Callithrix jacchus: one gene and its partner. The protein of the gene in region 1 purifies or fractionates together with the protein of each later gene. This does not show direct contact. Links are inferred from orthologs where the notes say so. Each region holds a gene or a part of one and is shown on either strand. Other genes may lie near its edges.

The links.
Region 2: the proteins of GP6 (region 1) and LYN purify together in Homo sapiens (affinity purification with western blotting; 5 studies listed by BioGRID and IntAct, with this or other methods). This does not show direct contact. The link is inferred for Callithrix jacchus from reciprocal best matches to the Homo sapiens genes GP6 and LYN.

What each region holds. Positions count from the first base shown.
Region 1 is NC_133523.1:47,883,799-47,887,250, forward strand, and holds the end of GP6 (platelet glycoprotein VI), read right to left. Parts: intron 2,448-3,452; coding exon 2,397-2,447; coding exon of another isoform or gene 2,320-2,396; exon of another isoform or gene 2,143-2,319; intron 1,900-2,142; coding exon 1,664-1,899; 3' UTR 753-1,663; downstream 1-752.
Region 2 is NC_133517.1:12,280,207-12,284,619, forward strand, and holds the start of LYN (tyrosine-protein kinase Lyn), read left to right. Parts: upstream 1-1,389; 5' UTR 1,390-1,658; intron 1,659-4,413. UniProt on the Homo sapiens protein: Non-receptor tyrosine-protein kinase that transmits signals from cell surface receptors and plays an important role in the regulation of innate and adaptive immune responses, hematopoiesis, responses to growth factors and cytokines, integrin signaling, but also responses to DNA damage and genotoxic agents.

The DNA of each region.
Region 1 (3,452 bases):
TACCATACCCAGCTAATTTTTGTGTTTTTTGTATATGAGGTGGTGTTTCACAATGGCGTCCAAGCTAGTCTGAAACTTCTGGGCTCAGGCAATCCTGCCTCAGCCTCCCAAAGTGCTGAGATTACAGATGTAAGCCACCGTGCCCAGGCTATACTTGTCTTTTTAAAATCTACTTAGTTTACTTGACCTCTATAATTATTTTTCCTCTTTCTTCTAATAGCTTCTCAGTATGATTTTCCACTATGTTAAGACAAGTAATTGACCCATTATTACATTTGAAGTTTTCTCTAAGCAACCTTCCCATTCCCGCTGCACCTAAGCTGTGTGCTCACTAGCCCGGATTCACAGCTGTCATCCTGAAGCTTCTGTCTGCCGTCCTGTCTTTTCCCAAGTGATCCACCCATCTCAGGCTCCTAAAGTGCTGGGATGACAGGCGTAAGCCACCATTCCCAGCCATTCTTTTCCTTTTTAAAAAAACTTTTTCTCTTCTTTATTTTTAGTGGAGATGGGGGTCTCACTATGCTGCCCAGGCTGGTCTTGAACTCCTCGGCTTAAGTGATCCTCCTGCCTTGCCCACCCAAAGTGCTAGGATTACAGACGTGATCCACTGTACCTCGTGCAGTGGTATAGTTTTACACTCATTAGATGATCAAGAAATGCCTAAATGCCATAATAAATGTAGAACTCTACTTTGAGAAGACCTAACATTTCCTTCAGAAAGTAATTATGAGAGGGGTGGAGATGGTGCATTATCTTATTTTATTTTTATTTTAAAAATTTATACATAATTGTACATATTTATGGGGTAGATAACAATATTTCAATACATATATACCATGTGTTATGATCAGATGGGATAATTAGCATATTCATCACTTTATTTTTTGAGATAAGGTCGGGCTCTGTCACTCAGGCTGGAGTGCAGCGGTGTGATCTCAGCTCACTGCAACCTCTGCCTCCCGGACTCAAACCCTTCTCCCACCTCAGCCCCCGGAGTTGCTGGGACTATAGGCATGCATCACCACACCTGGCCGATTTTTGTTTTCTGTTTTGTTTTGTTGTGGTAGAGATGGGGTTTCACCGTGTCGCACAGGCTGATCTTGTTTTCTAAAGTGCAGGAAAGCAATCAACAGGCTAGTTTTACACTAATGAAAATGAACGACATACCCAAACTGCCCGCAAGGCCTGTTCTAAGAAATGAGAGGAGTGAGTTAGACTGCAGTGGAAGATGGAGTTGGGGTGAGTGTTTCTGGGGAAAACCAGATGAGCACAGAGGGCCAAGGGGAAGCATGGAGGGTTCTGCGCAGAGGATGGAACAGAGTCGGCCGTGAGAGCTGGGAACGTTAGAGATTCATCTGGAGCCCGTATTACAGAAGGTTGAAGAAAGAGGCTGGTATGTGGTCCAGCCAGGGTACCATGTGATCCACAGTGTGCAGGGAGGAGACTCCTCCCATCCCAAATGGAGGGCGTCCTCGGACAGGGAGCCAGGCAGACACTAGCTGAACGGCTCCTTGATGGAGCACCAGGAGGAGGCAACATGGCCTCCTTTCCAAGCTGTAGCCTCAACCCTCCTGCTCCCATGCTCCACGTACACCACAGTGTTTGAGTTGTGTCCCATGCCATGATCCATCCCTTGGATATGACCATGCCTGGGGTTCACTGGTTATGAGGAGAACCCGTGGCTGTGAACATCTGGTCGACCTCCATCCTGACTCCCGTGAGATTTCCGGGGCTGTGGGAGGGGTGGGAGTGGCCTCTGCATAGCCCTGACCCTGTGCCGCGGGCGCTTCCTCCGGCTGTGCCAGTCCTCTGCCAGAAATCCCGCCAGGAGTATTAGGATCACAGCTCCGAGGCATATCCGGACCAGGTTGCCCTTGGTGTAGTACTGGCGGGAAGGACCTGGAGGAATGAGGAGAGGCAGGAGCAGGTGAAGAAGCCCATCTCCAGGACCCCCTCCAAGCCACATCTTGGGCTTCTCAGAGATCCTATTATCCTCTACCAGCTGGGATGCCATTCTCTTTCCTGGAGGGTTCCCCCACTCCCCAGTAGGAGTCAGGGCAAGATGACCCCAATTCTCTAAGTAGCACCTCTCCCTCATGTGCCGTCACAGGGCTCTGAGACAACCCCTTCCCAGACACATGCTGCCTTGTTAGCCAATGCGTTGCAAAAGAGAAGACAGTTATAAGGGGCGGGGAAGAGATGGAATCTCTTTCTCTGACCCTTCAGAAAATCTCAACCTTCCCAGCTGAACTTAATGCCCAATTCTGAACCCCATACACTGATATTCCGCCTTCTCTCTACACACTGGAACCCAAGATCTCAGAGCTGCAGTTTCTGTATAGAGAAAGGAGTTGGCTTTGGGTGAGAAGGGAGAGGGTCTGGAGAGGATGACTCACCAGCTGGAGAGCCTGACTCCTTTGGACTGGTGGTGATACTCCTAGAAGTCTCTGGGAACCAAAAAAAGGCTAAGTGTGAAATGAAACCATATTCCCTCCCCCATCACTGTCCCTACCCTTAACACACACACTTGGGAGGCAGAATTCCTTATTACAGAGCATGGGCTGGGCACAGTGGCTCACCCCTGTAATCCCAGCACTTTGGGAGGCTGAGGCAGGAGGATGGCTTGAGTCCAAGAGTTCAAGACCAGCCTAAGCAACTTGGAAAAATCCTATCTCTACAAAAAATACAAAAATTAGCCTGGTATGATGACACATGCCTATAATCCCAGCTACTCAGTGGGGGCTGAGGCAGGAAGATCACCTGAGCCCTGAGAGGTTGAGGCTGCAGTGAGCCAGGATTGCTCCACTGCACTCCAGCCTGGGAACCAGAGCAAGACCGTATCTCAAAAAAAAAGCATGAACTAAAGAATCAGCCTGTCCAGATTTGACACCCAAGGCTATCACTTATCAGCATCTGTGAAGCAGTTTTCCCTCCTATGTGTCCGGTAAAATTAATGATATCCCTTATAGGTTGGTGTGAAAGTCAAGATGATAATGGCAGTAAAACAAAGCACGCTGCTTGACATATAATGAGCACCTCATACATGTCAGCTCTCTATTCCTCAAGCATCTCCTGAGACAAGCCAGGTACGCAGCCATGTGCTGCGCCTCACGAACCCAAATATTAACAAGACACTGTCCACCTGCAGTTCCCAGGCTATTGGAGGAGACCAAGAAGTAAAGCGGGAAAGCGGGGATGTGTGTGTGTGTGTGTGTGTGTGTGTGTGTGTGTGTGTGTGTGTGTGTCAAGTTGGGATCTCGCTCTGTCACCCAGGCTGGAGTGCAGTGGCGTGATCTCAGCTCACTGCAGCCTCCACCTCCTGGGTTCAAGCGATTCTCCTGCCTCAGCCTCCCAAATAGCTAGGATTACAGGCACGGCACCCACCACCACGCCCAGCTAATTTTCTTATTTTTAGTAGAGACAGGGTTTCACCATGTTGACCAGGCTTGTCT
Region 2 (4,413 bases), on another chromosome or scaffold:
AGGATTCATCAGTAGCAATAGATACTTGAATGTAGGATTAACATATTTGAGAGGTCATTCTGAAGAAAAGAGCAGGCAATAGGCTCTCAGGTGAATTACTCCATAGGATTCTTTGTTTTTGTTTTGCTTTGTTTTGTTTTTTTTCCATAGGATTCTTGGTAAGTTTCAATCACACACCTTCCCATGGGTAACCCACCCCTTCTTCTCTTCAGCAGCAAACTAACTGAACTACACACCAGTGAACATCACAGATATAAACCACCCTCCTTTTCTTCTTTTAAGGAATTCGTTACTATGGAAAGGAGTACTAAAGTTTGCAAACTTAGTACTCAGATTGCCGTATCAGATTGTGTCACAAGGCAGCTGCTTTGACCTCTTGCACTGCAGCTGGGGCCAGCCTCTTCAGAACATTGTTGAGAGGGAAAGCAAGTGCTTTGGGCACTGTCTGGCCCATCAGGCCCTCTGTAAATGTTTGCTATTAATGCAAAGACCAAGTCTCCCACAGTGTCCAATTTGCTTCCTTGTAAATTCTTCAAGGTAATGCAATGCTGGGATCCCAGTGAACAGAATCTGGCTTCGACGTGGGTATCCATGGTGTCCGAGCCTAATCTTACATCTTGGATAAGTTGAACATGAGCTTGAGCCCGCGGTCACACATTCTTTCAGCAAATACTGGTTGGGCATCTGCTACTTGCAAGCACTGCCCTGCATGCCGGCATGCAGCTGTAGCAGGAACGAAGTAACAGCCAGCATTCCCGCATGCGGGCGGTGCGGCCCGGGTACAGAAAAGTACACGATAGGCATCCTTACATCCATTTTCTGGGGGGAAACTGAGGCTTTGAGAAACGGAGAACTTGCCGGGCCATTTGACTCCATGTCATCCCCTCCCCCATCAATGCCCTGAACAGCCTGCCCTGAACCCTGCACACCCTGAAGGAACTTACTTTGTAATGATTATTAAGAGCCCGAGACCCCGAGCCTCAACCCGGCACATCGCATCCTCTCTCTACAGACCCCCTAGTGTTGGAAGGGATCAGAGCTCACCTCCTCCGTTCCCGGGAACACCCCTTTCCTAACACCTTGAGGAGGGGTCGGAAGGAAAGGAAAGGAGACCCGCGAGATGTCGTCGATGCGCCTGCGAAGCCGAGGCTACCCGGAGACCTGTCCGTCCGTCGGTCCCGGCAGAAGGATGGCCCGGGCTGCTCCTCTCGCCGGAGCTGCAGGCTGAGTCGCCAGGTTTCTGTGCCTTCAAACCCTGCGCGACGGCCACACCAAACACCCAAACCTTGGGCAGGGACCAAACGGTCACTTCCCCGCCCTCCGGGCTCAATATGCAAATCCGAGCACCAGGAAGTAGCTGGGACCTCTCGGTCGAGCCCAGAGACAGCCAGTTCCTCTCCCGCCGCGCCGGGCCGCGCTGCCGCTAGCTCCCCGGCAGTGGCGCCTCCGGGCCCGACTAGCTGCAGCCTCCAGCCCGCGGCAAGCTGGGCGGCCGCGCCACCCCCGAGCCCGCGCCCGCAGCCCCTCGCCGCGCGTCCGGAGTTCCCAGCCAGCAGCCTCCCCCTACGCGGGTCCCGCTGGGCCGCCCCGTCGCGCCCCCCGCTCTGAACTCAAGTCACCGTGGAGCTCCGCCGCCCCGAAACTTTCACCGCGAGCGGGTGAGTCCTTGGCGCGAGCCCAGGGTGGGCGCGGGCGGCGGGCGGTGGGTGCAGGGGCGGCGGCTGTGCCACCAGCCGGAGTGACGGGCGCAGGTCAGCTCGGGGCCTGGGGCATCCGCGCGGCCGGCGGCAGCTTCCTGGCCGCACCGCCTCCGGCCCTGGCGGCGAAGACTCGCTGATCTCTTCAGCCAGCGGGTGACCCGGCCCAGGGGAGCTAGGGCGCTGGGACTCGGGCTCCGCAGGTGTCCGCGCGCGTAGCAGCGCAGGAGGGTGATGGGAGGTGAGGGCGTGGGGGCGGGCTCACCGCGGGTCCTTCCCGGCGCGGGCCCTTCCCGGCGCGGGCCGGAGGACCGGCTGCTGTCCCCGCACCGGCGGCTTCTCGTGCACCGCGGGCAAGCCCCTGTCCTTGCGGACTGGGCGCGCGGCGGGGATCCTGGAGAGGACTCCTCCGATTGTGCAATCTGGTCTCCCCTCTGGACCCTGGGTCCCCAGAAAGTGGGAGGTGGGGTTTGGCCGACGCCCTCTCCCAGGCCCGCGGACAGCTGCCTTCCCTGGTGGCCCCCGGCAGGAGCGTGACGTCGAGGGGCTGCGGCAGAGGCCGGAGCTCACCCTCCCGCTGCGGCGCCTCTCCGCCTGCAGAGGAGCAGTCCGGTGCATTTGCCGGCTGAGAGGAAGCGAGAGTTATTTTAAGAATTCGGGGGTTGCCTTTCCTTCTTCGCCTTGGGGGAAGGGCGTTAAGAGTCAGTTCCCACTTTCCTGCGTTCTCTGGGCCTATGGTGGTATCTTCTCCTTGCGGTGCATTTGTAACTTTCCAACCGCCTGCCAACCCTGTGGACTTGTGGTTGTGTCTTCGTTTCTTTGCATGCCCGTGTGTGTTAATTATCCCCAATTCGCCCTTCTTTGCCAGCTTAGAATCCAGGCCTTGCACTTTTCTGGCTGTATATTTTGGGGGACCGATTATTGAACTCTGGGCTTCTTCATCTTTGAGAGAGCATATATATCTCAGGGGCTGTTTAGTACAAACAAAGCCCCTACTACATACTAGGCATTTTGTAAACGATGTTACTGTTATTTATTGCAGTAAATTCTATTCACATAGAGAGGCTCCTTGATTCTTTGCAGCTTGGTGATTTTGAACCTACGTCTACTGTCTGAATTTAGTCATCTGACCTTATTAGTAAATCTGCTTAATAAATACGTGAGGAATCTGCTGCATCAAAGCAGGTGCCAGTAGTCTGACTTGCCCTATAGAACTAGCCAATAAACTGGTGGGCTGCAGGGATGTTTTCTCTGTACAGCCGACCCCTAAAGCCATGTCCTGGCGAGTAGGTACTGCAAGATCCCAGGACTTACTAAAGCCTTCTCTGAAAGAGTAAGCTTTGTTGGAAAAGGGTGAGATCCAGTTAGTCCCTCCATTCTCATTTGGAGGTAAGCAGGTAAGCACTTTGAGGCTTGAAGAAATTTCATTAGATCATAGAGCCTCTGGTGACTGGGCCTCTTTTGATGCAAATGTATGGCGCTTTTGCTGAGTGAAGGATAGAGGGCAGCAGACATAAGGGAAGAGAAAATAGGAGCTGGGAGACTTGAGTTTGGCCTCTTCCACCATTTAGTATGCTGTGATTTGGGATAAGCCACTTGGGCCCTTTATTCAGCTAATATTTCCTTTATAGCAGCAGCCAGAGTTATACTGATCTGTCTGCAGGTTGATAGTCTTCACCACTACAGTGGAAGCTCCATGAAAACTGCTTCATCTGTTTTGTCCAAAATGATAGCCCCAGTGCCTGGTACATAGTAGGTGCTCAGTTTGAGATTACTTGGAAAAAGGAATGAAGGCCTGCTGTGAGCTGGCAGTATGCAAAACTGAGGACACAGGGAGATGAAGAAATAGAGCTGGTCCCCAAGGTATCTGAAGCCTACTGGCCCTTTCTGTTGTGGTTTCTAAAACCGGGATTTGAGGGGCTTTGTTGACTCAAAGTTACCCAGCACCGAGTTACTTACATTTAGTGTTCTAAATGAGAATTTCCACTCAGCACTGCTCTTCTCTACTTATCACTGGAAGAGAGGTCCTGATGTGGGGTGGTTAAGATGTTTCCTGCAAAGGTATTTGACCCACATTATTTTAGAGTCATTCATGTTGCCAAGGTAGGTGGAGACTTTGTAATCCCATCCCCACCCCACCTCTCCAATGACTTTCTTTTAGCAGAAAAGTGGTCCAGCACTGTTCAATGACTTTGAAAGCCTTTTACTTCTCTCTGTAGTATATGTTTTCGGAAATAAATCCCAAAACATCTGCGATTCCAGTTGGTTCACATGACTATGTGGAGTTGTAACTTAACAAAATTAAATAATGTTATCCATGTACAAACCCATACTAACTTTATAAATAAGGATACAATGTATACATGCCCACAGCAGGGAACATTGTTCCATGCTCACAACTACTGATGATCTCAATGATGCTTGGATGAGTGTTAACACTGAAAGGCCACCACAGTCATTAGTCAGGACATTGATCAATGTCATATTGACAGCAGAGATGGCCTCAGGCCTTTCCCGGCTCTGCTTAGCGATGATGGTGAAGGTGTTAGCACCTTTCACTTGTTCAGGCCTCCGAAGTCTTCTTGAACTCTAATTTCATTTGAACCTTTTGTGGCTCCTATAAGTATGGAGAGGGACAGAAACAGAAAAAGATTCAGGGGCTTGTCCAAAATCATGGGCTTGGTTAAGTGGTACCATTAGGAATAGTAGGTATGTT